Oryzias latipes: one gene and its partners. The main gene of each other region encodes a partner of the protein of the gene in region 5 in a complex. Links are inferred from orthologs where the notes say so. Each region holds a gene or a part of one and is shown on either strand. Other genes may lie near its edges. The genes, in order: ccnf, fbxl17, fbxo10, fbxl5 and skp1.

Evidence for each region.
Region 1: the proteins of skp1 (region 5) and ccnf are in contact, whole or in part, in a cryo-EM structure (PDB 9CB3), measured with the Homo sapiens proteins. The link is inferred for Oryzias latipes from reciprocal best matches to the Homo sapiens genes SKP1 and CCNF. Residues at the interface, in NP_733779.1 of Homo sapiens: Arg81, Asp83, Gly98, Phe101, Ile104, Leu105, Asn108, Leu116, Asp117, Cys120, Lys121, Val123, Ala124, Ile127, Lys128, Pro132, Arg136, Phe139, Ile141, Asp144, Phe145, Val153, Asn157, Trp159, Cys160; in NP_001752.2 of Homo sapiens: Leu30, Thr31, Ile32, Leu35, Val39, His42, Ile43, Trp46, Leu47, Glu50, Asp51, Leu53, Ala54, Val55, Ala57, Val58, His59, Ser60, Gly86, Asn87, Ser300, Val301.
Region 2: the proteins of skp1 (region 5) and fbxl17 are in contact, whole or in part, in a crystal structure (PDB 6W66), measured with the Homo sapiens proteins. The link is inferred for Oryzias latipes from reciprocal best matches to the Homo sapiens genes SKP1 and FBXL17. Residues at the interface, in NP_733779.1 of Homo sapiens: Lys78, Glu79, Lys80, Arg81, Gln97, Gly98, Phe101, Ile104, Leu105, Asn108, Leu116, Asp117, Cys120, Lys121, Val123, Ala124, Ile127, Lys128, Gly129, Lys130, Thr131, Pro132, Ile135, Arg136, Phe139, Asn140, Ile141, Lys142, Asn143, Asp144; in NP_001156787.2 of Homo sapiens: Pro319, Asp320, Ile321, Asn322, Leu324, Pro325, Ile328, Lys331, Ile332, Phe333, Ser334, Asn335, Leu336, Leu338, Asp339, Glu340, Cys342, Leu343, Ser344, Ser346, Leu347, Val348, Cys349, Lys350, Trp352, Arg353, Gln364, Arg370, Gln371, Val373.
Region 3: skp1 (region 5) and fbxo10 share a complex: the UniProt entries of both Homo sapiens proteins name them as parts of the SCF(FBXO10) complex. The link is inferred for Oryzias latipes from reciprocal best matches to the Homo sapiens genes SKP1 and FBXO10.
Region 4: the proteins of skp1 (region 5) and fbxl5 are in contact, whole or in part, in a cryo-EM structure (PDB 6VCD), measured with the Homo sapiens proteins. The link is inferred for Oryzias latipes from reciprocal best matches to the Homo sapiens genes SKP1 and FBXL5. Residues at the interface, in NP_733779.1 of Homo sapiens: Phe101, Ile104, Leu105, Asn108, Leu116, Asp117, Cys120, Lys121, Val123, Ala124, Ile127, Lys128, Gly129, Lys130, Pro132, Ile135, Arg136, Phe139, Ile141, Asp144, Phe145, Glu149, Val153, Arg154, Glu156, Asn157, Gln158, Trp159, Cys160; in NP_036293.1 of Homo sapiens: Ile205, His207, Leu208, Pro209, Val212, Ser215, Ile216, Tyr219, Leu220, Gln223, Glu224, Cys226, Arg227, Cys228, Ser229, Gln230, Val231, Ser232, Met233, Trp235, Ser236, Lys240, Trp245, Arg315, Leu316, Gly319, Leu320, Asn323, Val324, Tyr327.

What each region holds. Positions count from the first base shown.
Region 1 is NC_019866.2:11,076,225-11,082,282, forward strand, and holds the start of ccnf (cyclin-F), read right to left. Parts: upstream 4,193-6,058; 5' UTR 3,801-4,192; coding exon 3,788-3,800; intron 2,759-3,787; coding exon 2,604-2,758; intron 2,441-2,603; coding exon 2,334-2,440; intron 2,237-2,333; coding exon 2,169-2,236; intron 1,723-2,168; coding exon 1,526-1,722; intron 1,130-1,525; coding exon 1,076-1,129; intron 786-1,075; coding exon 681-785; intron 1-680. UniProt on the Homo sapiens protein: Substrate recognition component of a SCF (SKP1-CUL1-F-box protein) E3 ubiquitin-protein ligase complex which mediates the ubiquitination and subsequent proteasomal degradation of target proteins.
Region 2 is NC_019867.2:7,788,519-7,794,697, reverse strand, and holds the start of fbxl17 (F-box/LRR-repeat protein 17), read right to left. Parts: upstream 3,615-6,179; 5' UTR 3,418-3,614; intron 3,411-3,417; exon of another isoform or gene 3,302-3,410; intron 2,007-3,301; 5' UTR 1,987-2,006; coding exon 1,504-1,986; intron 1,202-1,503; coding exon 836-1,201; intron 270-835; coding exon 147-269; intron 1-146. Other genes in the region: thioredoxin-like protein AAED1, read left to right, coding at 5,633-5,815, 5,994-6,062, 6,153-6,179. UniProt on the Homo sapiens protein: Substrate-recognition component of the SCF(FBXL17) E3 ubiquitin ligase complex, a key component of a quality control pathway required to ensure functional dimerization of BTB domain-containing proteins (dimerization quality control, DQC).
Region 3 is NC_019859.2:12,621,004-12,627,062, forward strand, and holds the start of fbxo10 (F-box only protein 10), read left to right. Parts: upstream 1-2,584; 5' UTR 2,585-2,717; intron 2,718-2,915; 5' UTR 2,916-2,955; coding exon 2,956-3,540; intron 3,541-4,445; coding exon 4,446-5,258; intron 5,259-5,362; coding exon 5,363-5,512; intron 5,513-6,059. UniProt on the Homo sapiens protein: Substrate-recognition component of the SCF (SKP1-CUL1-F-box protein)-type E3 ubiquitin ligase complex. Mediates the ubiquitination and degradation of BCL2, an antiapoptotic protein, thereby playing a role in apoptosis by controlling the stability of BCL2.
Region 4 is NC_019862.2:28,342,966-28,347,846, reverse strand, and holds part of fbxl5 (F-box/LRR-repeat protein 5), read right to left. Parts: intron 4,583-4,881; coding exon 4,487-4,582; intron 4,392-4,486; coding exon 4,196-4,391; intron 3,651-4,195; coding exon 3,465-3,650; intron 3,345-3,464; coding exon 3,219-3,344; intron 3,009-3,218; coding exon 2,854-3,008; intron 2,763-2,853; coding exon 2,680-2,762; intron 1,961-2,679; coding exon 1,250-1,960; intron 980-1,249; coding exon 831-979; intron 1-830.
Region 5 is NC_019872.2:4,053,845-4,059,292, reverse strand, and holds the end of skp1 (S-phase kinase-associated protein 1), read right to left. Parts: intron 2,417-5,448; coding exon 2,276-2,416; intron 2,132-2,275; coding exon 2,096-2,131; 3' UTR 1,544-2,095; downstream 1-1,543. Other genes in the region: tcf7 (transcription factor 7), read left to right, coding at 1-217. UniProt on the Homo sapiens protein: Essential component of the SCF (SKP1-CUL1-F-box protein) ubiquitin ligase complex, which mediates the ubiquitination of proteins involved in cell cycle progression, signal transduction and transcription.

The DNA of each region.
Region 1 (6,058 bases), on a different chromosome or scaffold from region 5:
CAGACACAAGAAAAACACCAGTTTCAGAGAAATTCAGAGATTATTTAACTATTTCACATTGTAATACTGACATTTGATAATGAGGTCGCTCATCAATAAACTAAACTGATAAGGAAAGAACCAAACAAAAGGACAACCACAGCACCAGTGAAACTTTCACACCAACAGGTCAGGTTTGACGGCTACTTCACCCAAAGTGATTGCCAGGAGGGAGGAAAAGGCCGGGACAACGGTTTGGAAACTCGTATGCTGTGAGACTGTTGTTATGATGCAGTGATACTGAAGCCGTTTCAAACATTCCCATTCCACATATGGAAAGTCTGGCTACAAGATAGAGGTTGCACAGTGGCAAAATATGCAAGAAAGGAGAGAAGAAATGCTCCTTTTCAAGAAAAAATGACTAAAACTGATGCTTGAATGTGCATTTTGCACAACAATTCAGCTTAACTACTGGTTTGCTCTCAATTAAAAATGTCTTTTGACTCCAAATGTTTGATTCCCGCCTATTTTTACTGCTATTTCCATTTTGTGAGATAAAGCTGGATTGTCCTTTTGTTAACAGTGATCTGGTAAAATCCACTCCTTCCAGAAGTGGTTTGAGGGGACTTAACCAGTTTTGACAGATATGCAAAGGCCCGGTTTCAGTATTAGGATTTACAGAGGGATCCATTTGAGCTTACAGCATCTTTACGACTGTGCAGCCACAGCAGGTATGAGCTTTGTAGACAGCCAGCCTGTGACGACTCCTCCAGCATCGATATGGCCTCTGATCTTCTCCCATCATCCTAAAAAAAAGAAGATGAAAATCCCTCAAACGTTATGAAAATCGCCTAAAACATTGTGCTTAAAAATTGATTGGGAAAAACATGCTCGTAAACACAGACAAACAGTGATTCTGTGAATAAGAATCAGTTACATAGAACAGACAAAAACAATGATTTTATCTGTGTGGGCTCCTAACAACTAACCCAACACAGTCCCCCATGACAAACAGCACACATATTCATGACATGCAGACAGAAACTGAACCAACAACGCCCTAAACAACCAGATTTAACCCAGCTTTTTTACTCACCTCAAACAGCAGCAGAACTCTGGCCAAACAGTGCAACAAGGGACCCTTCTTCTCCTGCAGAGGAAGCACAAGAATCAATAATGGAACACATGGAAAGAATGAAAAATCTCCACCAAAAATAGATCGATAAAAGTACTTTGGTGTGTGTAAACGCATTAAAATCGATATGCTAGTAATAGTTTCAGCAGGAACTAGTGTCAGTGTTTTCCAGGAGCAGAAAATAGACCATCAAGGCCATCATTTTTCTGCTAAAATGTAATCTGCTGATAATAAGCACCTAAAACCCAGATTCTACCCTCCACTGACCTTAGACTGATTTTTTCTAAGCATATTGTTGTCTGTCAAATATAGAAGACAAAGCTAAAGATTAAAGAAACACAGATACAGGGCTCCTCAGGATGGACTCGATGGAGCCACAGCAGCAGCAACAACAGCAGCAGCAGCACCTACCATGTTAGTATCGCACTCGGCCTTGAGGTGATCGAACACCACGGCCTTGCAGCAGCTGCCGGTGGGTGACCACGGCGGACGGATGAAAACCCAAGTGAATGGGTCGGCTTTGGGGGAGCGCACGCTTTCCGCCAGGCTAAAGAAGTGGGAGGCCTTTTGACCGCAGACGTCCGCTCGCCCTTCATCACTCAGCAACGCTGAAGAACAAAAGGGAAGACAGTAGAAAAGGTTCATATCAAGACAAACTCATAAGTGTCTTAAGCTATAAAAAAAAAATTTCTGACTTTTTTTAACCATGTGTTTTTGAAATATTCCTGTTAGACGCCAGTCGAGCATCTTAAATATACCGTTCTGAGGTAGATAGTGCTGGAAGACGCACACAAAGGCAAGTTTTATATTTTTTTCTCCTAATGCATACTTCATATACTGCCCACTTGTGGGTAATTAAAAGTTGTTGAGGATGCAGAGGCTGCAAGCAATGTATAATGATGCCTTGAGGATGCGATTGAAGACCCCTTGATAGTGTAAAGCTGTCTTTAGGTGTTTTTGATGTTATGTTGTGTTATTGCTCTTGAGAACGAGAGCATTTTGTCTTTGATTAAAATACATACTGCTCAGGAAATGTAGCCTTTAGTGCACTTACGCCCTTCATTGTATAAATAAGCAATCCCAAGTTTCACAGCAGCCTCGAAATTCCCTTTTTCTGCAGCTCTAGATTGAGAAAAAAAAAATTGCAGTTAAAAACTCGATAAATGACAAGCAGTCAGAACAGTGAATTTCTTTCTTTTTTTGTAAGAGGGAACCATACTTTTCAAATAGCCATAAGGTGTTGGGGGATGGCCATCGGTCTCTGAAACTGACCCTGGCCCACACACTGGAGTGGTTGTCTACAATATCCCGCAGCTGGGAATGAACCTACAACCAAAACAAAATAAGATTAACAAAAGCAGGAACAAAAAGAAACTTTATAGTTTTTAGTCACAAGATGCGCAAAGAACAGTCACTTGAGATTTGACAAAATGCAGCACATATGTTAAAGAACAAACTGCACAATTCAAATGCATACATCATTACTTACTGCTCTAACAGAGAGGAGGTCTTCTGCAGACAGACACTGAAGCACACAGAGAAGAATCTCCTCAGGCAGAGACAGCAGCGTTAGGGACGACGAGCGTTTACGAACCCGCTTCCGCACTGGAACCGAGTAACATTTTGAACAACGGCAGTGGACAACTGTAGACAGAGGAAGGGAGGAAAAAGTCATCAATACATGGATTTGTGGATGCATCTCTAGAGCAGCATCTTTAATGCACGCAGAAATGTACAGAATTTCATTCAAGTGTACAAAAGCACTTCACAGGGTAATGCGAAAAACTCATTCTCACATCTGTGCGAAAATCAATATTTGCACATCATTATAAAGGCATTTTAGAGGCAGTTGCCTCCTCTTGTGTTATTTGGTCAAGATGGTCATAAATAAAATAAAAAAATAATCAAGAATAATCAAATCCTATTTTAAAAAAAAATGTAAAAAAGAAAGAAATAAGATTCTACAGCAAGCCTCGTCTCTACAGCAATAACTTTTTCACTTAGCATAAAGTTTCATAAAATACAGTTAAACACTATTTTGGTCATATTTTTGTAAATAGATGAAAATTAAGGATAAAAAGTTGAAAATATGAAGACCCTTCAAGATAAATGACAGTAAATTCTCAACTCCCTCCATCATGAAGATGACAAACGTTTGACACCCTCGTGTGGCCTTCTCTGCATATTTGAATAAATATGATAAAGATTTAAACAAACACCAACCATTTTATAAGGATTCATTTAAAAAAATGTTGTGTTAAATATACATTGCACCTGAATAATCGCAGAAAAATAGTTTGAAGTAAGTTTCTGAGTTGAAGAAATCGAATCAGATGAGCGCCCAAATTTCCCTCCCGTATTCCGATTGAAGCTTGAGTTCTTTATTTTTAAATCTAGTTTATAGTTATATATATTTAAATACTACTACAACAAACAAGCTAGATTAATTTAAAGGTTATGGACTTTATTTTTGATTTTAGGTTTGTATTAACTTAAATAGAACAAGTTTTGTTAGTACATCGCTTACTTAGTTGCTAAATTTCACTGCACTCTCTGAATACTTACAAATAAAGACAGACTATATATTTACATTCATAAAAGGCAAAATATTTAACTATTGTTTCACGGAAGATATAAATATTAGTAGGAAGAAAGTTTTTAAAATCTACTTACCGCCCGCTTTCATTGCAAGTGGCTCAAGACCGATGTATGGAGATACAACACGGAACAAGTGCGTATAATGAGTGACGACACCACCTAAAACAAGCAAAATTATTTGCTGCTTTTGTCAGAAAACTAAATTAAGAATGATACGATATCTGCTGTCTTTCTATCACCAGCTAACATCCTATAAATTGTTAGCTCCTGCCTGAATTCAAATCCAAGCGTGTCCACATTTGGCCCCGCCCCGAAAGCGGTCTAGGACCGCCCGCGCCCATGGTTTAAACTCATTGTTTAATCTGATTGGTGAAAAGTGGTGACGCCCATCCGTTGCATCAAGACTTTCCGATTGGTCATCCCGCAGAGCGAAGGCTGTGGTTGGCCATACGGTATAAACTGGAAAAGTAGAGAATTCTATTGGATAACGTAATGCCTTTTCGAAGTACGCGCTCGCCCAAAAGCACAAATAATTGGATGACCTGAATATGAAGCTGTCCACAGAGCGACCATTTTGAAGTGAACCATGGGATATGTAGTCACATAAAATAGACAATTTAAAGGTACCGCTTTTAAAGGGACAGCTACAAATTAACCCTCCCCACAGTGGTATAATAGAAGAACTTAAAAAAAAAAAAAACAGCTCCAACTACGTTATTGGTACTCAAACTGTGGAGAATAAGTTTGAACCAAAAGCTCACTGTTAAGTAAATAAGATAAAAAACAACAAATGTACATTTTTCTTTGTTAGTTTTATTTATTTATTTTTATGTTTTGGTATTGTGCAAACCTTTAACTTCTTAACTTTTGATTTAAATTTACAAGCGTTGTTGTTTTCTCTTTACTCTAAATGCAAATTTAAATTTCCTGATATAATTAGCAGTTCTTGAAAAAAATGTAAGGATATATTATTTTTCTGCAGTTTTGAGAGCAAAACATGGATTTACACAAATCTTTATATAATATCCTGGCTTTATTGGATTTTGCCCCTCCTCCCCTAAGGTTCTAGTTTACCATAGTTTAACCTCCATGTACACCTTTGCCCCCATACCCAGGAATCCAGCAATTACATCCTGCCTCATTTGGACCAATCTTTCATACCCAAAAGGGTTTCTAACCCTGACAAGGTTTCTGTTTATACCAGCAAAAGTCCTAACGAGATAACAAAAACGAGTCCCCCCCCTCCAACCCACACAAAAACACATCACTTCACATCTCAGTAACCATGTGACCGACAACACAAATGAATGAATGAAAGCAACAGATTGGTTTGGCCTCTATTGCAGCTGCCTCGGAGAAAACTACATGATTAAGACCTTTTTGTTGCGTCTCTATTGACGATAAATAAACTTCTCTGTTAGCTGAATAGTGTCCTCTTGATTGCTAGTTTTTGGAAGGAGGTTATAAAGGACCAGAGTGCACAGTCAGTCCTTTGTTGCTTTCAAGCCTTCTATTGATCGGTTCATCACCTGTTCACCTAATCTCATCGCTACAAACAAAGCTACTACTCAGTAATTACATTTAAGAGGGCAAAGGCTTTTGGAAGTGTCAAAAAAGGTTCCACGGCAATATTATTTATTTCCCATTTTTATCTTGACTTGCACAATAAAGAAAGTGTATTTCCTCTTAACTCACTATGGGAAATATTCTTTGCTCTATTTAACACTGGAGATGCAGCAAAATCAAATTATCTTGAGTGACCTCAGTCAGGGCAAGGGCTGTGACATCTTCAACTGGATGCACTGTTTCCATAGAAACTCCAACCCATCGCAGCCACTTTCAGGTAAAAAAAACCCCACAAAGTAAATGATAACAAATAGGCAGCATAATGGGGTCTTAAAAATGACATTTTGATTTTCTCCATCAAAAGCATCCAGTTGTAAAATTGTTCCAAAAAAACATGTCGTAGCACATCTGGAAATTAGACTTTTTATTTCTTTATGGTTTTGTTCTCCTAAAACGAATAGACTAAGGACAAAATAAACAGCATATTGGAAATTGAAATGACTGATGCATAATTTGAAGTTGTGTTTTTTCATGTTCAGATACCATTCCATTCACTTGCTTTTCCCCACATTTGTTTGCATTACTATAACTACAGAAAGACTCATTTTAATAAAATTTAACATCTAATTGCATTTGAATGTCTGGTCAGCCTTGTGCAGTTTCAGTCTATACCTGTCTCCAAAAGCAGCTATCCCAAAAACAATCCCCTATCTCATCACCAAGGTAGCATTAGACAGCTGCTGGAGGCAGTGACTAATCAAAAACAGACACATTCATCTT
Region 2 (6,179 bases), on a different chromosome or scaffold from region 5:
TCAGATCTTGCATAGTTTTTACAGGCATACTCATATCATATGGAATTACTGAATTTTTTTAAATACACAGAAACTAAAAAAACAACAGCAGGAAGTAATATTTTTACAAAATTCAAAGACCAGCTTCAGAGCGTGACATCTCTTACTTGTTGTAGGCCACTGAGGTCGATTTGCTTCCAGAACTGAAAGTCCAAGCAGAGGTCCCTCCAGTATTTGCAAACCAGAGAGGCACAAAGACAGCGTTCCTTCACTGTCAGGTGGGACAACACCTGTGGTGGGAGGAAGAGGAGGAGGCATTTCTGATTAACAACTAATGCTCGTTTGACAAAACAGTTTATAACAGGGAAAATCCTTGTTAATTTCATTGCGCATTTATCATAAAACACAAAAAATATCATTGTATTGACATAGTTAGTTGACATAGTTGAAGTCCCACTCTGATCATCTTTTGATCTATTTTTAAAGTATTCCCACTTTATTGACGCTATCCAGCCGTAGAGTTTAGAGCCAGATTAGGAAAACAATGACAGATATGGATCTATTTGTCTGCAAGTGGATGCATCAGAATGGAGCGGAGGAGGGAGCTTGTGGACCGCCAGTTGTATTTGATGTCACAAAGAAGTTCTCTTTCAAACTGCATTTTTTCGTCTTCTCCTGATTCACAACTATTTGAGTAAAGAAATACTCAACAATGCAATTTGAGCTACATTTTCTTTACATATGCCTTCCATTATCAGATAAAGGCCACAAGAACATGCTAAAAAAAACACGTTTTAATCGGACTGGGTCTTTAAGTAAATGGGAACAAAAAATGATGAACTAAAGCCCTTCTGACCTTGAGAAGGATGGAGGAAGGCAGGTGGTTGATACTTAAGTGATCAACAGCATCAGAACTTCTCGCCTGAGAGTCGTCATAGTGATTCAGGCAGCAGGGGGAGGAGTCTGAGCTGTGGGGCGAGTCCATTTGAAGGCCCAGCCCGCAGCAGCCATCAGCAGGCAAGGAGGCGGATGCAGAGGAAGAGGAGGACGAGGAGGGAACTGGGCATAGTGGAAGGTGGCAGTGGCCAGTTTCAGAGTTGGAGCCAGCCTCTTCTCCTCCCGTTCCGTCGTGCTCCAGCCCTCCGTCAGGAGCGGCAAAGGCACAGCGCGGCTGCTTGCAAGGGGTGCACCTGTGCACCTCGGAGCACTTCCTCTTACACACCTGCAGGCAGAAACACACAATCATGTAAAGGTGTGCTTTTCAACCAAAACACACCAGGCTCACATTCAGCTGATTATCTTATTTATTCACTGATGAAAATGTCTTCCACTTCTGACCATCTAAAGTTATATCTAACCAGCCTTCTTTCAAGCCCAAACACAAACCTCTCTTTTAAATAAATGATCAAAATATGAATATTTACTCCTCCAAGAGTAACCAGCTGAAGGCACCATGAAGCAAAACAATTTGACCCATCACCACAGATTCCTGCTGCACCTTTTCAATGTGAGGTTAGTGCCTACCATCTCAGTGTAGTCGACGGTGCAGTTGGGTATAGGCACAGGAACGGGCACAGTCACAGACACACCAGCCGTTCGGAAAAGAGCCGGCGCTGGAATCAGTTTGGCAGGAACGGCGGATAAAATGCCCCTCCCCTGGCCCTCCCAGATCCCCAGCTCCCTTGGGGACAACAGGTACTTGGAGCACTCCTCAGGTGAGGCGATTGTTGCGTATCGCTCGGCGAGTTTTGAGGCAGCTGCTGGTCCGAGGCCGACGCCCCCAATGTGCGCGACACTGATTCCGGTGATTGTGTTGTGGCAACACCCGTTCACGCCGGCCTCCAGATGGTCACCGTCGTCGTCCAGACCACTGCTATTGCTGTGGACGAGGAAACAGAGCATGCACGGGCCCTGCAGGAAACAGTTCCTCTTCTTCTTCTTCTTGTGCTGCAACTTGCGGGTCCTCTTCTTCAGGCGTAAACCATTTTTCGAGAAAAGATGGCCCATATAGAAGATTCAAGGTAACTCTTGGAGAAAGAAAAAGAAACAGAAGGGAATCTTACATTTGAATAACATTTATGAGAGAAAAAAAAAAGAGTTAATTAAGTACTAAAAGTGTTTAATCATTCCTCTTGAATCTTTAGACAAAAACTTTTCAGGGTTACTTCAAAAATATTGACATTGGCAATAAAAAAAGCAAAGTTAAGTTAACATTTATGTCAGCAGAGGATTTCATGTTTAACTTGAGAAAGAGGTTGACAGTAACCTGGAAATAAATGACAAGCCAACTGATTGACCCAGAAGAACTCTGCATTCAGGCTAAAATATAGGCTTGGTTAATTGGTCCAGTCATGTGACAGAACTGAGTAGTAAATCATTCCATTCACAATTACAGGTTGTGTATAACTATCACAGAAAAATGGAATTAAACATTATACAACTTTTTAGAGCTTATTAGAGGCCACGTAGAAAGTTTGGTTTTACTGGGAATCTTCCACGAATGAATGTGGAAAACATCAAATAAAAGAAACTCTGGAAATAAGATCTTTTCCAAATGAAATTCCTTTTATAAACAATTTTTTTTATTTTAACATAAAATGAATGTTTTTTTTAATCAGTTTTTAAAAATTGGACTGTGGTTGTACAAAGCCTGAAGAACACCAATTAAAAAGGCTGTGAAACAAACAGCACTCCCTTACCTCTGAAACATTGCTTCTCTCCATCTATTCACCACAGCCCATAATAACATGACTGCTTTGGCCAATTTTATAAGAGTATATTTTATTGCTGCTTTGATGTTTGTTTTCAACTATGTCACTATTTTATTTAAAGCGACCTTGAGTTTCAAGAAAGACAATTTATTATTATTATTATTATTATTATTATTATTATTATTATTATTATTATTACTGTGTATTAAAGCTAAATATTGCATACAATGTTTGATTACACACAAGATTAAGGTTTCCATAAATAAACGGCTTTTTTCCTGTAAACTGCTAAGTTCTTCCAATGAACAAAAATGAAAAGGGAAATCCTTAATTGACTTATCAATCAGGTTTTTCTCAACTTTTGACATTGACTGCAACTTTTGTGAGTCAAAGTTAATGTGATAGAAATTGGCCATCGGTTTTAATGCCTAAACTGCTCGTCCTCCTTGTCGAATCTGTAAACAACGAGAGCTCCATCCATGCATCTGCTGCTCTCGACTGCTGCAAACACAAAGATGTAGACACTGAACAGGTGGTCGGGTTTTACCACACACAAACAAAGCAGCCAAACGCTTATCCCACACTTTGCAAAATGATAAATATCCGCTCACAGTTTCAAACTCCTTTGGAGACAACAGCTAGGAGCCCTCTGAGAGGCTAACCTGCTCCTCCATCATCAGACAGATGCTAAGCTAGCTGTTCTCCTCCAACATGGAGCAGCTCTCACCACTTGACACGCTGCTCCCTCCGTCCGGACGCTCTTCACATAATACTGCGCGGGTTGACGGTAGCGGTGAGCGCTGACACGGAGAAAGGCGGCCGCAAACACACAACCGCCGAAGCGTCTGTTCAGACTCCAGCAGCTTGGCTCTGCTGCACTTGAGCACAACACTTCCGCAGCGAAGGGGGGCAGAGCTACAGAAGCCGGCGAGGACAATTTCGACAGCAAACTTGCTTAATAACAGGTAGAAGAATCCCAGACGACTGATGATCAGATGATTAAGAGGGTGACATTTTTCCATCACCTGTAGATTTGTATTTATTACTCGTTTAATCCTGGGAGTAATTTTATTGTTTCAAGAAAAATATCACGCAGAGAGTATGCAAATTGGACTTTGAATACACAAAGTAAATATAAAATGTGAGAGACCGGGATTTAATCGGATACAATAAAAATTTCATAGGATGCAAAAAATCATCCTGAAGATACCAAAAAGGAACCAACCAAATAAAGATGTATTTTTGTTGTATTACTCCTGTCCAGCTGCTTCTGTGTTGGACAGTTAACAATCTGGTTCATGCATGTTGTTTACATGGAAGGTGCACGTCAATATAAACCTCTTTTATATTCGAAGAAATGTCTTTTGTTTTAGGCTCTAGACCTTAAGAAAAAGAATTTGATGCTAAACGATGGTGAAGAATATGTATAGAGAGAAATCGTTGGAGAAATAAAAGAACAGAAAAACATTTACCTGGAGAAAGAAATGAGAGAAGTAAATAGAAAAATGACACACAACCAAAGATGAGCAAGGATTAACAAATGTCAGTTATACAAAATTGTGCTTTTGTTATCCACACACAACATACATATCCACTCTAAATTGTGCCAGATGAAAAAAGCATTTTTACACAAAAAAATATGAAGAAAAAAGACAAACAAAATGGTGATACAGAAAGAGAAACATAAAAACACCTTCTTCAAACTCAACAAACTATAACAAGTGGGAAAAAAAACATTTCATATTTAAAAATAGAAACAAAACCTTCATGCAAAAATCTATAACTAAAGTATACATAAAACACGCATTGCCCTCAACCCCCCACCAACTCCCATTGTGAAACATTAAATAGCTTAAATAAGAACAGGAATAGAAATGTGGTTTAATGAAGGCATTACAGGGCTGCACGGTGGTGCAGTGGTTAGCGCTCTTGCCTCACAGCAAGAAGGCCCCCAGTTTTAGTCCTGGCTGTGGGACCTGAAACACAACACCAATGGGGACCTTTCTGTGCTTCATAGGTTAACTGGTTACTCTAAATTGTCCATAGGTGTCATTGTTTGTGTGTATGGGTGTGTGATCTGTGACCCTGCGACAGACTGCCAACCTGTCCAGGATGTCCCCTGCCTTTGCCCAAAAGTGGCCAGAAACGAATAACATCTGTTGATTTCCTGATCTCTGTTGTTTTTCTAAAATGAAATTGTTGTATTTTGTGTGTCATACACTTTTTGCTCTACTTGTAAAAAACACGTTTTTTTATGATGTATTACTTTACAAGTGTTATACTGTGAAAGCATTCTGTTAAAGTCCTGCAAGACATCATTTGTACCCCAGTTTCCCCAGGATTTGTGTGTTCAGAGAAACTAAACAACACATATTTTCAAACACATTTCTGCAATTTAAAACAAAAATACAAAGCTTGTATAATTGTATGTAGGAAAATGAAAAAAAATCAATCATTTGGGTATCTATTTTGAATCTTAGTTTAATTAAATAATAGCTTTACTGTAGACTTCTTTTAACCTAATAATAATGAATATTTATAGTTCATCATACAGTCTGAGAAAACCTTTCTTTGTTACATTTGGTTAAATGTATGCCAACTAAACTAATGTAAAAAAGCAAAAACAAATAAAATAAATAAATGATAAACAGTTACCATATGCATTTTAATATTGGTGAACAAAAATAAATTTCTGTTAACAAGTTGAACAAGAGATAAGATCATTTTATTTAAAAGGTTTACAACACAAAGGAGATTTTAAACAGTGTTAACAGAATGATAATCAATCGCTTCTGTGCACTAAAAGCGCATATTTTTCAGTGCGTCTGTGTGCGCGTGCACGCAGAGTTATGGGCGGAAACGTGCAGTCTGGCTGCAGCTTTTCCAGCCTGAACGGCAACTCACAGAATAACACGCAGTGTCGGGAAGCAAGAAGGAAAAAAATGGCTGCAACTGTTCCACCAGTAACCCGACAAATAACCAAAGACAGCCACAGGAAAAAAACTGAAAACCCGCCTGTAGATCTGCAAGAGGCGCAAGACTGCTTGATCTACGACCGACACGGAGTCTCCATTCCGTTCAAGTCCTTATATCAAGACAGGAAAGTTATCATCGTTTTTGTTCGGGTAGGAAAAAACTGTTGCTGTTCTTTCTTATTTTGTGAAAAACTCTTTCAGGCAGGCTGGACATGAATTAGATTAGAAAACCTAACGATGCTCAGAACTTCTTATCCAGGACTGGAGAAAAAAAAAACCTTATTGAAACCTTGGAGTCCTGCTTTTTTAATGTCATGTATTCCTGCAGAACTTCTTATGCTACAGCTGCAAGGAGTATGTAGAAGATTTAAGTAAAATACCCCAAAAAGCCCTGGAGGTGAGTCCCAGAGCTGCCATTTTTAAACCACTTTACGATCCTTAAATAAATATATTCAAAGGTATTACTACATTGTTGATGTCTTTCTAGGATGCTGCAGTCAAATTGGTTGTGATT
Region 3 (6,059 bases), on a different chromosome or scaffold from region 5:
AAACACACATGCGGAAGCTTTGGCTTCCAAGAAAACAGTATGGGTGAAGAGAAGTGACATAAAGTCATAATTGTTTTTTCACAAGAAGATACCAGATAAAGTTAGCAGGAATAGGCTGATGCTTTTGTTTTGATCACAAAGAAGGACATAAATATCTAAATGACTTAAAAATGTTTTGTTTATAAATTTTTTGTCTTTAATTCACCCTGACTTGAGAGCAGCTGAAAAAAATTCCAATGTACCTGTTTTACATGTACAAATGGTAATAAATCTCTTATCCTTATCCTCCTCTCACTTTTTTCTCCCTTCCAAAACAAGTTTTATTTAGTCATGGTTATATCTTTGCATCTGTTTAGGTTATTTCTTCATATAATCTAAGTATGAGCTTTTTAATTTTTATTTTCACTTCATACAATAAAACTACAAAACATTTTTTTCTTCAAACAGCATATTGTTCTGCAAAGTGATCTGTCAACCCTTTTATTAACTGCTAACTTTTGCATGTGAACCATTTGAGTCCTCATTCATTGCTCTTTCACTCGGGTCCTTTTGCGGGTCTGAACCTGCAGGGATATGAAATTGAAAGGTGGTTTTACTTTTAAGAAGCTTAGCATGTCCAACAGAATCCTTCACTTTCCCACTTTTGCATGACGAGTTTTGCAGAAGTGGGAATGTTTAGTGTGTTATTTCCCCTTTTTATAAAGACAGATGAATTAACTGAAAAGCACAAAATGCAATTTTGAAAACTAACGTTTTACTTCAGATTTTGCACTATGTTTCATAAAAGCAGTTTAGTCGAACTGGCTGCAGAGGGACATCGCCATCTGTTGGTCAAAGTATAAATAAGTGTAATGTAAATGTAAATCATCAGAGTTATCCACCTATGTGGCTCCACCGGAGCATTTAAAAATGACACTGTGTAATTTCCTTCAAACTACACAGATATTAAGCTAATTTTCTTTGCATCACTGAAGTGAAATGCTTCCCGCCTCACAGCACAGTCAAGTTAGATATATGTTGAAAGCCAAAAACATTTTAAGTATTAACGTTCTTGTGGATAAAGCTCATTGGCCATTTCTGCCATTTTCAGAAGGACATTTATAAAATTCCACCAGTACATAAGTATTTTTTATAAATGCCTCTGGAAAAATATTCACTTTGTTAATTATGTCTTGTAGTTTTCTTGAAGGCTTTGCCATGCGCCAAAGCCTTCTTTGTATTCCATTACATTTTTTTAATGTTTTCCATATTAGTTTAGTTTAGTTTAGTTTTCCACAATGTGTCACAAACAACAAAATCACCTCACATATTGGAATGGCCAGATCAGTCTTTTCTGATCCTTAACAATATATCCATAAGTATAAACATCTGTCTGTCTGACAGGGAAATCTAGTTTATCTATGTTTTTTATTATTATCATTAAATTTTGAGATACTCAACTAAAGTTGGAAAGATAAAACTTTTAAAAAGTACATTTATGAAATAGTTATTCTCTTTACTATATGTCTCACTAATCTAATCCATATTTGTTTTAAAGCAATTTAACACTATAAGGAATGCTGTGCAGATAAACAAAAATAAAAAAGAGCACATAAACATTAAAAAAAATGTAAAAGTAAATATTAATTAAAATGGGGCTCTAGAAGGCAACGCATAACTAAAACAATTAAAAGAAATAAATAAAATAAATTATAATTTACCATAAATAAATAAAACTTTAATAATTACCACTTATTGCTAAAGGGTCAAGAAAAACAGATTTATTCTAGCTCTTGCTTTAAGTCAGACTCAGATCATCTTTTAGTCTATTGTAAAAGCATTCCAGGGGCTCTTTAATTATGATTATGCGTTTTTTAGTCAAAATCTAAAAAAAACTAAACTGTGTCATTTTGTAGGACAGTTCCTTCAGAGCTGCAGCGGTTCATTTGTAATTTACCTCTGATTTGGAGTAGAGTAAGCCTGCCCTCACTTTCTGTCATCCATCTGTTTACATGCTCTCCCGCTAGCTTATAGCCTCTCACAACCCCGACCTTGCAATGAAATGGCGAACAGTATTGGACCTATCCAGCCGTACAGTTCTCAGCCAGATTCCATCTTAGACGTGGGCAATAAAGACATAAATTGATAAACTTCACAATGGAGCTTGCGGCTTGCCGCAGTAGGTGCTACGTTACATCTATTAGCTATTTCCAACTTCATTTTTTTTTGTCAGCTGCTGATTCACAACAATTTGAGTGAAGTACTAAGAAATGCAGTTTCAATCTAATTTTTTTTTTACATATCTCATTCATGAGAAAATGCAACAAGAACATGTTTAAAACACCAACAAACATGATTTTTATTGGAGTGGGTCTTTATGCTATATGATTGTAGCTGTTCAGAAATCAATAAAGTTCGTTTTTGTAATCTGAACCCTGAAAACTTGTGGTAACAAGGATCGAAATTAATTTTAAAAATAAAAAAACTGATGCTTAAAGGGCAAAACAAGCATCTTCTTACAGTGAGTCATGATGAGCTGACTGGTGTTCATCCAAGAAAACCAGTGGGAGGATTTTGTACACGCCCACTTTTTGGGGAAGCGGAAGATGGGCATCTCTGTTTGCCGTAAACTGGTTCGCTTGGACGGTCGCAGCTCCGCCGCAGACATGTAACGCTGAGAGAAACCGCTATAAACATCGAGCCGACATGCATTAATGTGTCGGAGTAGCGACTGAAAGGTAGTGTTTCCATATTTCATGATGCTTAAGATTCGAAATAATTAGTCCTCTCCTGCTAGCAAACAGGTGGTGACCGCTGCAAAGTTCACGTGAAACGCGAAATCGCTAAATAATAATATGGAACCCGTTATTATTTCTACAGTAAACGCAATGAATTATAGTTGTGACGAAGTGTTGTTGCTGCTTGTTTCCATCCAGGTGCCGTCACGGTGCTTCCCCAGCCGGCGGCTCTGCTGCCATGGAGGTGGGGAGCCTCCCCATGGAGTTGTGGCGGGTTATCTTGGCCTATCTCCCCCTCCCTGACCTGGGCCGCTGCTGCCAGGTGTGCAGGGCTTGGCGGGAGCTCATCCTCTCCCTGGACAGCACCCGCTGGAGACAACTCTGCCTCGGCTGCTCCGAGTGTCGGCATCCCAACTGGCCCAGCCAGCCTCACCTGGAGCCCGCCTCGTGGAGAGAAGCCCTGAAGCAGCACGCCCTGGCCAGCCGAACCTGGACTCGAAATGTGCCAGAGCTCCAGTCCTCTGCCTGTCTTCACTTTTTCCGGCGACGCAAAGACCGTAAGGTCTGGCACGTCGGACCCGGTTGTGAATTTGAGAGCCTGCGTGGGGCTCTTGGGGTGACGGGACCCTATGACCGGGTTGTTCTTCATCCAGGGGTCTACGAGGAGCAGGCTGAGGTGGCGCTGAAGGTGCCCGTGGAGCTGGTTGGCCTGGGGCGGCTAGGTGAGGTGGCCCTCCTGGTGTGCATTGAGCAGCAGTGCCCCACTGCCAGACTGTGCAACCTGGTGTTTATGCCACCATGGTTCTCCACTGTTGTCTACAGGGTGAGGGACCAGCTTGTTTTTGCATTGTTTTTATGCAGTACATGCAAATGTATCACCAGAAGAAAAAAAAGAAAAAAAACAGGTCTTACTTTGCTAGAAAGAAAGAAAAATCCAGCACTAATAAACCAGAGGTTTGCAACCATCAACACTTAAAGAGCCACTCAGATCGATGTCTTACAGACCCCAAAGTCTTATTTAACCTTCTAGAAAAAACAATTTGTATTCATTTTAGTGTTACTATTATGATAACTGATAATAAACTGTTGTTTTTTTTTTTTGGCATAAATAAAACCCACACATAAAGACAAATACAATTTTCAAAGCATTGAACAGTTTATAACTTTTGACAGAGATTTACGTGACTTCCTTTCAAAAAAAGACACCCTGTGTCACATAAGTTTATTTCACTGCAGTAGTAGTACTGTAGTGAAATGTCAGCAGTGATTAAAAAAACAAAAAAAGATTTTTATTTTACTCTTTGTATTGCATCTCAGCTAGAAGTAGGTAAATCTAACAAAATAAAATTGAATCAGAGCTAGTTACTGTTTTTTTAACCATAAGACACACTTAAGATCCTTGAATTTGTTCAAAGATAAAACATATTTTTCGTGATCTGATGCGGCTTACTTGAGGTTGTGCTCACTAACCTTCAATTGATATTCTGTGGCACATGACAAAAATCAGTCAAAATGTTTTAGTTCAACTTGTGATACGTACTTCCCTTCAATTTTTTAAAATCTGTTAAATAAAGTTTGAGTTAATTTACTTTTGCAGTTACTTTGTTAAATTAAAAACGTTTTTTTCTTTAACTGTAGAGCCACAACGGAGGGATTAAAGAGCCTCATGTGGCTGTGGAGTTTCAGGTTGCAGACTCCTGACCTATTCTCTTTTCTTTTCTCCCTCAGACATCATGGGGTCATGTCCAGATGGATAATTGCAACTTTGAGGGTGCTCAGTTGCAAATTCGTGGCCCTGGAACCTGCCAGGCGCGTTTCTGCTCCTTCTCTCAAGGCAGCTCTCTCCACTTATTCAGTGTCTCTCTCAGTTTATTAGACAGCTGTGACTTCTCAGGAAGTGACACGGCTTCAGTGACCGTGGAAGGTCCCCCAGTGTCTGAGAGGAATTGGGCTTGTAAACACTTGGCTGCCCTGGCCAGGACGTTCCCATCTGGGTTTATTAGCTCTCCTAAAGCCCCTCGGGCCAGCTCCACTGGCGGTAACCCTGCAGGAGGCAATGCAAAGAAGGAGCCCGTGAGCACAGAGGAATGGAAAACAAGGATGGGTGGAGATGCGGGGTGTCATGGAACTGTTATCGAAGACGGCTGGAGTGATGGCGATTGCAGCGAAGGAGATGATGAGAAAAAAGATGGCAGGGGAGCCAACACTGCCAAAAAAATGTTTACACTGGATTACAAAATCCCATATGACCATCACGGTCTTGCTCACTTGTTAAAGCCTCTGGAAGATGGCACTCTGCCAGCCGCCTCGTCTCCTTCACCTCCACCTGTTACCCCAGAACCCCTCACCCTTCAAGAAGAGTTAGAGAGGGATCAAGAGGCGCAGATAATGGCTGCATCAATCCTTGGCTGCATTGTCAGACGCTGCCTCTTCAGGGACGGAAAGGGCGGTGTGCATTTGTCGAATTATGGACAAGGTCGACTGGAAGAAAATGTCTTTCGGGGGCTGAATTATGCTGTCCGCTGCATCCAGAACGCCACGGTAATTGTAGTCGATGCTGTTAACACATGTCAAGGAAGTGTTTCACTTCATGATTAATTCAGCAGCTTTTTTGTTACCTGAGCTGTTTTTCTTCCCTCCTTCAGATCGTAATGCTGAGAAATGAGGTGTGCGAGTGCTGTGCGTCAGGAGTGTTTCTCCGCTTGTCTGCTCAGGGCCTGATTGCAGAAAATAACATCCACTCCAACGGGGAGGCAGGGTTGGATATTCGAAAAGGAGCCAACCCAATCATTCTGGTAAATTTACAGGCATTTACAATTGCAGCTGGATTTATATTTGAATTGTGTTTAAACCAGTTTTGGGATTTGAATTTGGATGAGAGGGTTATCAAAGTCCTTTTCTTAAAGACCAACTCCGATGAAAATAATGTTTTTGGTGTTTTTAACATGTTCTTGTGGCATTTTTCTGATGATGGAGGACATATAATAGGAAAATTCAGCTCAAAATTACATTTCTGAGTTTGTATTTATTCAAATCCTTGTGAATCAGGAGCAGATGAAAAAAATGCCGTTTGAAAAACTGTATTTGTGGAGTAGAAATTACGCTGGGCCAGCAACAACCTCCCTGCTCTGCTCTACAGTATTCTGATGCATCGACTTGTAAACCTCTAGATCAGGGTTCACCAACCCTGTTGCGGTAGCGCACGAGGAACAGGGTTGGTGACCCCTGATCTAGATCCATGTACGTCTTCCCTTTCCTCGTCTGAGCTGGCATCTGGCTCAAAACTGTTCAGCTGGATAGCTCCAATTTTCCTCGCCTTTTCTGTTGCACTGGTAATGTTAG
Region 4 (4,881 bases), on a different chromosome or scaffold from region 5:
TGGTTGTCACTCAGGATTTGACAGAATATGGCTCCGTCAATCCAGAAACACCCCCAAAGCATTATGTTTCCACCTCCATGCTGAACAACTTTTTTCCCTCCAGACTCATCGGGTTAAGTTGATGCCAAACAGCTGATCACAGCACCTTGTCCCAATCCCTCTCTACTCTAAAACCATGAAGGTGTTCATTGGTAAACATGTGGTGGGTCTGCACATGTGCCTTCTTAAGCAGGGCTACTTTGCCAGCACTGGAAGATGTTAAACCATGGTGGTTTCATGTGGTTTCCATGGTGACTATGGTTCCAGCTGCTTTGAGATCATCAACTAATTCCTGCCGTGTTGTTTTAGGCCGTTCCTTACTGTTGTCATAACTGTGGAAACCCCCCCAGGTGAGACTGTGTCTGGAGCCTCAAACCTACAGGTGGATTGATGGTCATGTTCTTGTGTTTTGGCACAATTACACAAACGGATGTCACCTTAACCTCCAGCTTCATGCCAATGGTTTTGTAGTCCATTCTGGTCTGCTTAAAATCAACTGAAAGCTCTTTAATCTTTCCCATGTTGGAGAGTTTGGAGTCTGACTGATTCTATGGACAGGTGTCTTTTCTACAGGTGATTATTTCAAACAGGTGCCTTCAATTCAGGTGACAGGTTGATCAGGATAGTCTAACTGGTCTGTGTGAACCAGAACTCTTAATGGTTACTAGGGGATCAAATACCCATTTCCTTTACTGAATCTATAAGCAGCTTCATCAAGAACTAAACATCAACAACAAGCATGACTTTGTGTCAGGGTGAAGATGAGCTGCTAGCAGCTTCGCTTGTGTTACCGTTAATGTTGTCGCAGTAATAGAAGTGCTCATCATTGAGGGATGGGCAGGCTGAGACCAGCTCCTGCAGCCCCACCTCAGTGATGGAGAGACAACCAGACAAGTTGAGATGCTCCATGACGGGAAGCCCTCCATGCTGGGACAAAGTCCTGAAACACAGATGGAGGGGGAGGTGAGTGGTGCTACTCCAGACTTAGCCTTATCAGGACGCTGTTTCCCATAGCAACTGCTATGGAGAGTATAACGGCTCTCATTGGTCAATGAGGCCATTGATTTCTGATAACTGATCCCTCATTGGGGATTAAATCTTTGCATAATAATGCTGGTTTCTCCACCTTAGTTAACACCTCAGGTGTTGAAATAGAAGCGTTTTTTACTGTGTTAGTGAGTCTTTGTGTAAAGAAATAGAGGATAACTACCTCAAGCCCAGGTCGGTGATTTGGTAACATCCAGAGAGACTGAGAAATTTCAGCGCCCGTTTAGCGGGTGAGCAGTCAGTCCTGTTTTCAGGCTGCAGACACTGCAGTCCTCCCAGTGGAGGGCATTTAGTCCGAGATCCTGCAGTGGCGTTCCTGCCGCAGCCCGACACGCTTTCGCGCACTGTAAACGTCCTGAGGGCGATGTCACCTGAGCAGCAGGTGGAGTGACCGCAGAATATTTCCCCCGACATGGCGTACTGCTGATGCAAATATGAGGCGTCCGACCCCATCCGGTGGCCTTGCCTTCTGCTCGTCCTGCAACAGCAAGAGCCGCCCATCAGCTGCGTCTCTACGAAGCTTTCAGGGAGGGGCATCCCGCCCCGCCGGCTCCACGCTGCAGCGTCCTCAATATCGGCCAGGTCGGAGGTCTCCACAACCCACACCGGCGTTGGGATGCAGGGCCCCCCCCAGCGCCGAGTCCCGTACTTGAAAACGATGGCCTGCTTCTTTCGCTCCAACGCGTGCAGGTTTCGCTCATCGATGTGCGCGGTGAAACTTTTCAACTGTGAGGTTTTGTCAGAGCAGGAGGAGGAGGAGGAGGGGAGTTCCCCTAACCCGGTAGACAGCTTCTTCAGGGTGAGATCGGTGATCTTCTCGCATCCCGACAAATCCAGGTGCTCCAGAGAACGACAAGCTCCCAGGAATGACCAGCTGGAGAAAAATGAGAACAAAGCTCAGTGTTCTGAGTTCCACGCAGACACAGATCCACATACATGTACGGTATATTTCTAATATCTATCTAATGACATAGTATTGTGAACTATTAGTACATATCGTTGAAAATTCAAAAACTACATCTTCATGAAGAGATAGCTTTGTTGTGTGTAATATTATTTGTGTAGTAATACATAATAATACGGGAACCACGGAGCCGGCAGCAGCTGCAGGGGCAGGACAGCCTAGTCAGACGGTCTCGCTCGCCATCGAAGAGGCACGCGGGGCGACCCGGGCCTCAACTAACACTCCTGTGGGCGAGAGTGGTCCTCTGCCGGGGACTTGACGCGCCGTGGGGCAGAAACAATGTTCTCAGTGTATTTAAACACACGTGTGGAGTGATGCATGTATCAGAGGGTGTTCTATTGGCCTTTCTGCATGTCAATCAAGTCATATACTTCTTGGAGAGGATTTTGATTCGCTAATTTAATTATATACATTTAAATTTGGGGGATTTTTTTATCTATGATGGCGCGTGATCTACCCACATGTCCTTTATCGCAATCGATGTAATGATGACCCCTGAAGAAGTGGTCCGACTGACTGTGATGTCATCCGTAGAAAATGATTTATTTCCAGCTCCAACCAAATGAAGTCAATTCTGTCGCCATTCAATCCACAGAACCAGATTCTAATTTAAAGGAAGTATTTTGTACCTGTCAAACACAGAGTCTGTCACATCAGTTTGAGTCAGATCCAGATGAGTGATGTTGGGGCAGAGGCTGACCATCTGACGGACCTGGAAAAGACATTTAAGCTTTCAGGCTCAGCTTAACATCCATCAAATCTCATGGCAGCAATGCAACTCTGACTGGACAAGCGCCGCATACCATTTTGCTTGAGACTGTTGAACTGTAGGCCAGAATAATGGATTTGACTGACGGACCCACAGCAGGGAGGAGGTTCTGGATGATCCCATTCAGGAGCTTCTTCTCTCTCTGCACCATATTGATAGCAAGCGAGCCCTCTGTGTGACCCGAAACATCTGACGAGAAGAACACTATCTAGTCACTACCTCATGAACACAATAAACTACCACACACTGCAGGTCCATCCACCTTCAACATTGGAACTTTTTTTTCCCCACTCAAACCCGGGGAAAAAACAATAGTCATGATGAAACTATTCACAGCACACACACATGACCCTGGTAACGTTCAGCTCATGCATGTTTGAAGTGATTATTGGCCCTCACCTGACTCGTCAATATCAGCGTCCTCGTCCCACTTCTGATAAGCTCGACCCTCATTCTCTCGACTCCTCACCCACTCTTCATCTGGCTCCTGATCCAGATCCCCAGGAGGGCCATTATAATGATCGCCTGTGTTTTAAAAAAAACTTTAGAAACAAGGATGCCTAAGCATCTACAAGATCATCTTTACCAGGAAAAACAACTACTTGGTTCAAAAAGAAAAGATGAAAACCATGAATTGAGGTTTACCTCGGGCCCAGCGAACAGGGTAAAGGTGCCTCCACAAAGAGCCGGTCTTGGCCAGCTGCCACCACAAACTGCACACCTGACTGCAGCGACACAGATCCTTAGGGCCCAAATAATGGAACAACCTCAGCATTATTTCTGCAGGAAGGTGTGAGATGTTGGTTGACATATTCTGCTTCTTCTCCAGGTCTGAGGATGGAGGGGGGAAAAAAAGAAGAGCATGTGAATGTTTTAAATACCACAATGATAAAATTATCTCAAAATAATCCATGTTCTGTACAAATATTGTTGGTATTTTACAGCAAAAAAAAAAAGGCTTCAAGTATCCTGCTAATTGTGTTTCCTATCACAGACGAACACAACTCCATCCATTCATTCATTTTCTATGTCTGCTTAATCCTGTCATAGGTCACAGGGATGCTGGAGCCTGTCCAGCTATGGTTGGGCTCCACTCTGGACAGTTTATCAGTTCATTAGAGGGCTGAACACAACTAACCCCAAATAAAGCCTTAACTAGTCTCATATTTTGGTAACGGGTCATAATATCTATCTGTTGCTGTTCATTTAAAAAAAAAACTGTTTCTCTGCTGGATTACATAAAAAGCCTTTTTAAAACATGACTGAAGATAAGACAAAAAAAGAAGTGTGTGGCCTTCAACAGACGCTTGACTCATCTTTGTCATGCACTTAACTGGAAACCTGTAACAAGTTTAGTCATTTGGACAAACACTCACCGTAGTCTGTCTTCTCATGATCCGAATATTTAAAGGCTTTCTGCAGCTCCTCAGCCTGCGACCACAGACGGAATCCCTTCAGCACACCGGCAGCACAGTCCCCGTGCTGTTGGCTGTGGTGCTGGGCTATCACCTTTTTCTTGATGTCTTTCAGCTCCTCGTAGGTGAAGTACTCCATGAGCATCGGCTGAAACACCTGCAACACATTTCCGTTAAAACACAGCTTGACGCTGAAAAGGATGAACAGGTGACATTTTTGATTATTGCTTATCCCGCATGATTATCTTGTACCTCCTCCTCTTCCTTCATGTGGGGCAGGAAGTCCTGCGTGAACGCCTCAAGTCTCTCCTTCAGCTGACGAGCATAGTTAAGCTGCTCACATTCATTCTAAAACCACAGAACAGACAGAAATCCCAGATCTTAGATCAGCTGCTCTTGGACAGTCATAAGCAGACGTTTACCACGCTTTAGGTATTTTGCATGATTCTAAAAGTTGCGCAAGGAAAATTTAACTTCTTTGTTTTCCTCGTCTGAGCTGGCTTCCGGCTCACGACTGTACAGCCGGTCAGCTCCAATATTGTAAAGAAAAAACCTGCATAACTATAGTTAAAAGACCACCGGGAACACTTTCAAAATAGACCAAGGATAATCGGGCTGGGTCTCTAATAGAATTTGAACTGTTAGTT
Region 5 (5,448 bases):
CTCCCCGTCGACACGCCTCCCCTTGCCTTCGCACGCCCGCTCGCACTCGCGCCTCCCCGCGGAGCCCTCCGCTGACAAACGCATTGACCCCCGCCCACCTGCAGCCAAACTCGCCCACACGCTCCTGGAACTGTCCAAGCAGACGCACTGCTCAAGGGCGCTGTCGGCCGCCAAGGTGGCGGGACTCTCCCTCAAAGTGTTGACAGAGACTCAGTGACCACCGCCCGCCGGGATCGCTCGCCTCCTCACCTGCTCCTCACATTTGTCAGTATTACATCATCGTCATCATCATCATCTCTGCTGGATCCAGAGGACTTCCTCGTTAGCTGCTCCATCCTTAACTCTCCTCCTCATCTTCATCACTAGATGCACTTGTGACAAAACAGTAATTCTTTGAACAGAAGTCCCATCTTTGGGTGTATTTTGGTAAAGTGGGGGCGTTGGTAGAGAGAGACACGCTTGAACCAGCTTCTCCACATCTGCATGGAGTTTAAACCTTCAGGTCCTGCTTCCACTGAAGCTAAAGTAGAACTGCACCACTCTAGCCTCTAAAGTCCATTTTTTAGAGTCAGATCAACCCACACAAATTTAAGTTTTTATCAACAAAAAGACAGAAAAGATTTGTTTCTATTGAAAGCAAACTAAAGTTTACTTCCAATTATAAAAACTGGCTCCCCCCCCCCCCCGGAAGTATTTCCATTATCTGCTCAGAGCAAACCATTACATCATGAGAGCGGAGCACTGACCATTACAACCTCAGATTACAAAAGGGAAGGATTGGTTCTTCTGTTTGCCTTTTTACGGAGACCCTTCTTTTCTGGATTTTGTTGTAACCAGCTGTGCGACTAACTGTATTTGTCATTCAAGCATTTAATGCAGTTAATAAGACAATTCCAAGTAACTTTTTTCAAGGCACTTCAGGCTCTCAAGCTTCAGGTTCAACTGTAACTTTTACTTCCATCTTTCTTAAATTCCCTTTTATTTTTGTGTGTATAATTTTAATGTTATTTTTTAAAATTAAATTTCCCATTGACTAATCAACAGCTCCAAAAACAAATCTGAGACCAAATGGGTGATATTGTATTGCATTCTGTTGTAAAGTCTTACATTGTAATTACACTTTTTGTATGTTTTTAAGAAAAAAAAGGAAATGACCAAAAAAAAAATGAGCTCAGTTTAAAACCTTTTTATTTTAAAGCAGTGTTTTTTGTCAAATAGTGAAGAACTGTTTTGGGGTCAGATGTTACAGCAGCAGTCAAACTATGTATTGTGTTTAATCTGCATGTTTGAACCTTCAAAGGCTTTAAGAGAATGATTTTGGATTCTTCCGCCAGCAGATGGCGCTCTTGTGCTAAAACTGCTTCATTTCAGGACATTTGAGAAAACCATGTTTGAGTTTTTTAATGTTTTTTTTTTAACCCTGTTGTATTGCTAGTATTTTTTTGTTGGATGTAATAAAATATAAATATCTCTTTTGACTGAAACCCTAAATCCCGTCAGAGATCGTTTGTTTGGCAGCATCAAGACACAAAACACACATTTGGTGGATAGGTTTGGTTTATTAAACCAGCATCAGCTCATCTCAGAAGGTTTCCAATTCCACACATGACTCAGGAAGGAGTCGCCGGACGCTGTAAAGCCGTCTCCACTTCACACAGCTTCCTTTAATGAGGCTTCACAAAACGGTACATTTACAGAGCAAAGAAACCAACATTCACCCATGACTTCTCATTTTCAAAAAAAGTTGTTTTATTTCTTTCAGCTAACCTAAAATACAACTAGCATGTCCAGTAAAAAAAAAAAAAAAAGTAATTTTTAATAGGAGTACAAATTGCTGACTGTTTTCTGTCAGTGCTCAATGTGAGTTTGTGAAAATGCAAAAGAGCCTTTTAACTTTAATTTACCAACACCACACAGGCAAATTAAAATGGTCATGCAGTAATAGGAGAATAGAAATAAAAGGAAGCGGGGTTTAAGGTGTAGGGAGGGGGGTGTGGCTCTAAATATACTAAATATTAACAAATATGAACATGGCCAGTGCAACCAGTTAGCAGGGACAATCCTTTTGGATGTGGTAGTGTTGAGGAAAACCCTGTTACTTCTCTTCACACCACTGGTTCTCTTTGCGTACCTGTGGACAGAGGGGAACGGTGAGCTTTCAACGCTTTGTTCAGCCCTGAGCTACACTCCCGTGCAACACATTCACATCAAATATTTCGTGCAATACTTTTTTTTTCAGTCCAACAAGAAGAGAAAAAAAAGATGGAATCAGTACCTGGGCTTCCTCCTCCTCTGTGAAATCATTTTTGATGTTGAAAGTCTTCCTGATCTCCTCTGGGGTTTTGCCTTTAATCATGTTGGCCACCGTCTTGCAGGTGACATCTAACAGACCTTTGATGTCCAAATAGTTGGCAGCCTAAACAGAAAGTAAATAAACCAAATGAAACCTTTAAGAGATGAAAAGGGCACAGTCGGCAGGAACTGGCAGACTGACTTGACCTAAAGCAGGAAAAAAGTTTAGGATGAAAACTAGACCACAGACACAAACAAACAACTTTGACTTTATGCTTCATGGGGACATTTGGCATGAGAACCAAGATGGAGGATTTTTCTTTAGAACTTTGTTGCACGCTCTCGTACGGGGTTGACCTGTACGGGGGTTGGAGGGTATCGGGTTGTCCGGGCCGTGGAGGGTCCTAGAGAGGAGTGGCCGCACCCTGAAGGGAACACAGGTGTGTCTTGTAGTTCCCTTTAGCCTGGCTGGGGTCGGGAACCCATGGCTCACGAGCCACGTCGGGGTGGGGGGTGGGGGGCAGTAGTATTGGTGCTCGAAGAAAAAAAAATCTGCTCCACTATCAGTTTCCTATTATCTGTTATATCACAGAGTTGGTACCAGCCTGAAACCTATGCACTGCCTTAAACTCACCACGCATCAACCAGACAAGACCATCAGCAAAACCACCATGCAGCACCAGAAGTCACATTAATGCTATGAAATCATCATTTATTAGCAACAGCATAATGTAGCGTCCCTTTCCCACACTGAGGCACAGAGACTTAATCTCTTTTAAGGTTCTTTATTCTGGTTACTGTAGGCCGTAACCAATGGCGTACAACTTATCCAGCAACTCCTGAATCTCTCCCACCGACAGAACTCCAACTTTTTATTCCCTCCTCCCTCACCAGCCCTCCCATTTCCATTATTGGGCCCACAGCTGAACCCCATTGGTCAGAACTCCCCAACGACAGGCTGAGCGACAGAACTGAGGGCCAACCAGCATCTCTGCTTGATGCGTTCAATGAACTCTGGAACTTAGAACGCAACCCAACAGCCACCCAGTCTAACTCAGTCCTCTACAATTACAATGTTATTGAAAAGAATCCACAGACTAATTGTAGTTTAGTTTTAAACATATTGAATGGCTCTCACAAAATGACATTTAAAAATATGTGGCGTTCATGGCTCTCTCGGCCAAAAAGGTTCCCGACCCCTGCCTTATGGGATGTCATGAATGGAATGTACCACTGTCATGTATCAGGAGGTTTTTGTAAGGATAGTGTAAAATGCCCACACTTCAAGTGGGTGAAGCAGTAACACAGTGCCCTTACACCACAGTCTAGTCGTTAGTAAGGCGCAAGTACTGACCCGTTAGCAACCTCAGGCTGAAGCCGCATGTGTTCAGGTGTACACACAAACTATGCAGTGGTCGTCTAATTTCCTACATTCTCACAGTCAGGCTGCACTGTAAGGAGTGAGCATTTATCACTTGAACATTACTGACATCTTGCGCAGAGATCAGGGTTAGGAGGGGCTGGAAAAATCTGTATGACACGCCTGCACCCCACTTCATCCATATGCATTTTTAAGCCTTCGCTACAATTTTTCACCCGCAGGATGTCTACTAAAAAAGAAAAAAAAATGGGCATGAACATTTTCACCCAGTGGTCTAAGACCTTAAAATTTCTTGCGGGCCACCTCCCTATTATTTTGCCCACAGACAGCCTAAACCCACCCATAAGGACAGTTGTCAGTAAAGCGTTACTCTCAAGTTAAGAAAAATACTTTTACTAAATCTTTTAGAAATTACACTCCAAAAAAGAAGAAGATTTTCTTTCCCCCTTTTGTAAAACAGAAGACTTTGTTTTTAATCAATACCATGGGGCTGATTTAAACAGCCCCATCTGCCCCAAGAGTTGCTCTCTGTCCTGAGCAGTGCTCACCTCAAAACCCAAAACTCAGATGGTTCTTTCAACTTCAATCCAACATTTGAGTTAAATGTAGCAACCATTTCTGCTTGTAAACAAAATAAGCGTGTGTGTGTGTGTGTGGGGGGGGGGGGGTTTCTGGAGTCACTCGTGTCTCACTTCCTGGAATGACTGGATCTTCCAGTAACCGTTTCCCAATCTCTCCTGGGTTCTGCTCGGGTTACCTCTCACATCACGTCACATGGCTGGTTTGTGAGAACCACTACCGGCTCTCTGACCGCTGACGACCCAACGGCATTAAAAAAACATCTTCCAGCTGTTGCCTGGCAACAAATGTTTAAATCATTTGTTACCCAAACAAAAGAGTCAGTTATAAAAAAACTATTACAAATAACCTTAAAAAATAAATCTAACAAAAAAGAAAGTCAACTGCAAAACTGAGAAAACTTCTATAAATATAAGTGGCTGTGTTGATAAAATACTTCACTTTTGGTTTGATTTACTATTTTTAATGTTAACCATTTCAGTGATGCAGCCTCACAATTTACTGAGAAGACCAAGAAGACAGCAAAAACAAAACCATCCTTGCTGCTTAACAGTGCTGGAAGGTATAGCTAGACTTTGGTCTTAGACATAATGATCCCTGGTGTCTGCCATCACTAGTAGTAGTCTTATTTAAAACACTAAGGTTTGGTACCCAGGTGTATTTAAATGTATTACCAAAAAACAGAAGTATTTTTCCATTCTGTTATTCTGACACTTTTGTCACACATGGAAGGAAAACACTTTTCTCCTTTAATCATGTAAGTCCCAGAACTCTTTCATCCAGCAAGTGCAGCAGTCAACAAGTGCTAACAGGGCATTTTAGTGGTACTTTTTGTTTAACGATTAGACCAAACAGAATTTATCATTTTAACTAGGCGTGTTTTTAAATTAATAAACTATGGCTGGGTTGATTATATCGATTCGTTGATCCAAGCCTAATGGATCAATAATCGATCCATTAAATTAGAGATCAATCTTTCATGCCTTTCCTTTACCGGTGACCTAACCCATAACAGCAGTAAACCCAAAGTCTGCTAGTTTGATGCTAACATCTAACAGAATTTCCCGTAGGACCACTTATGCTAACGCTTGTTCGACTGAAACTTGCATTACTGCCTAAATGAACAGCTTTATACACTCACAGGAAGGAAGGAAATGTCCAAAGTCTTCTAAGGAAACATTTTTTTCAAAGTAACT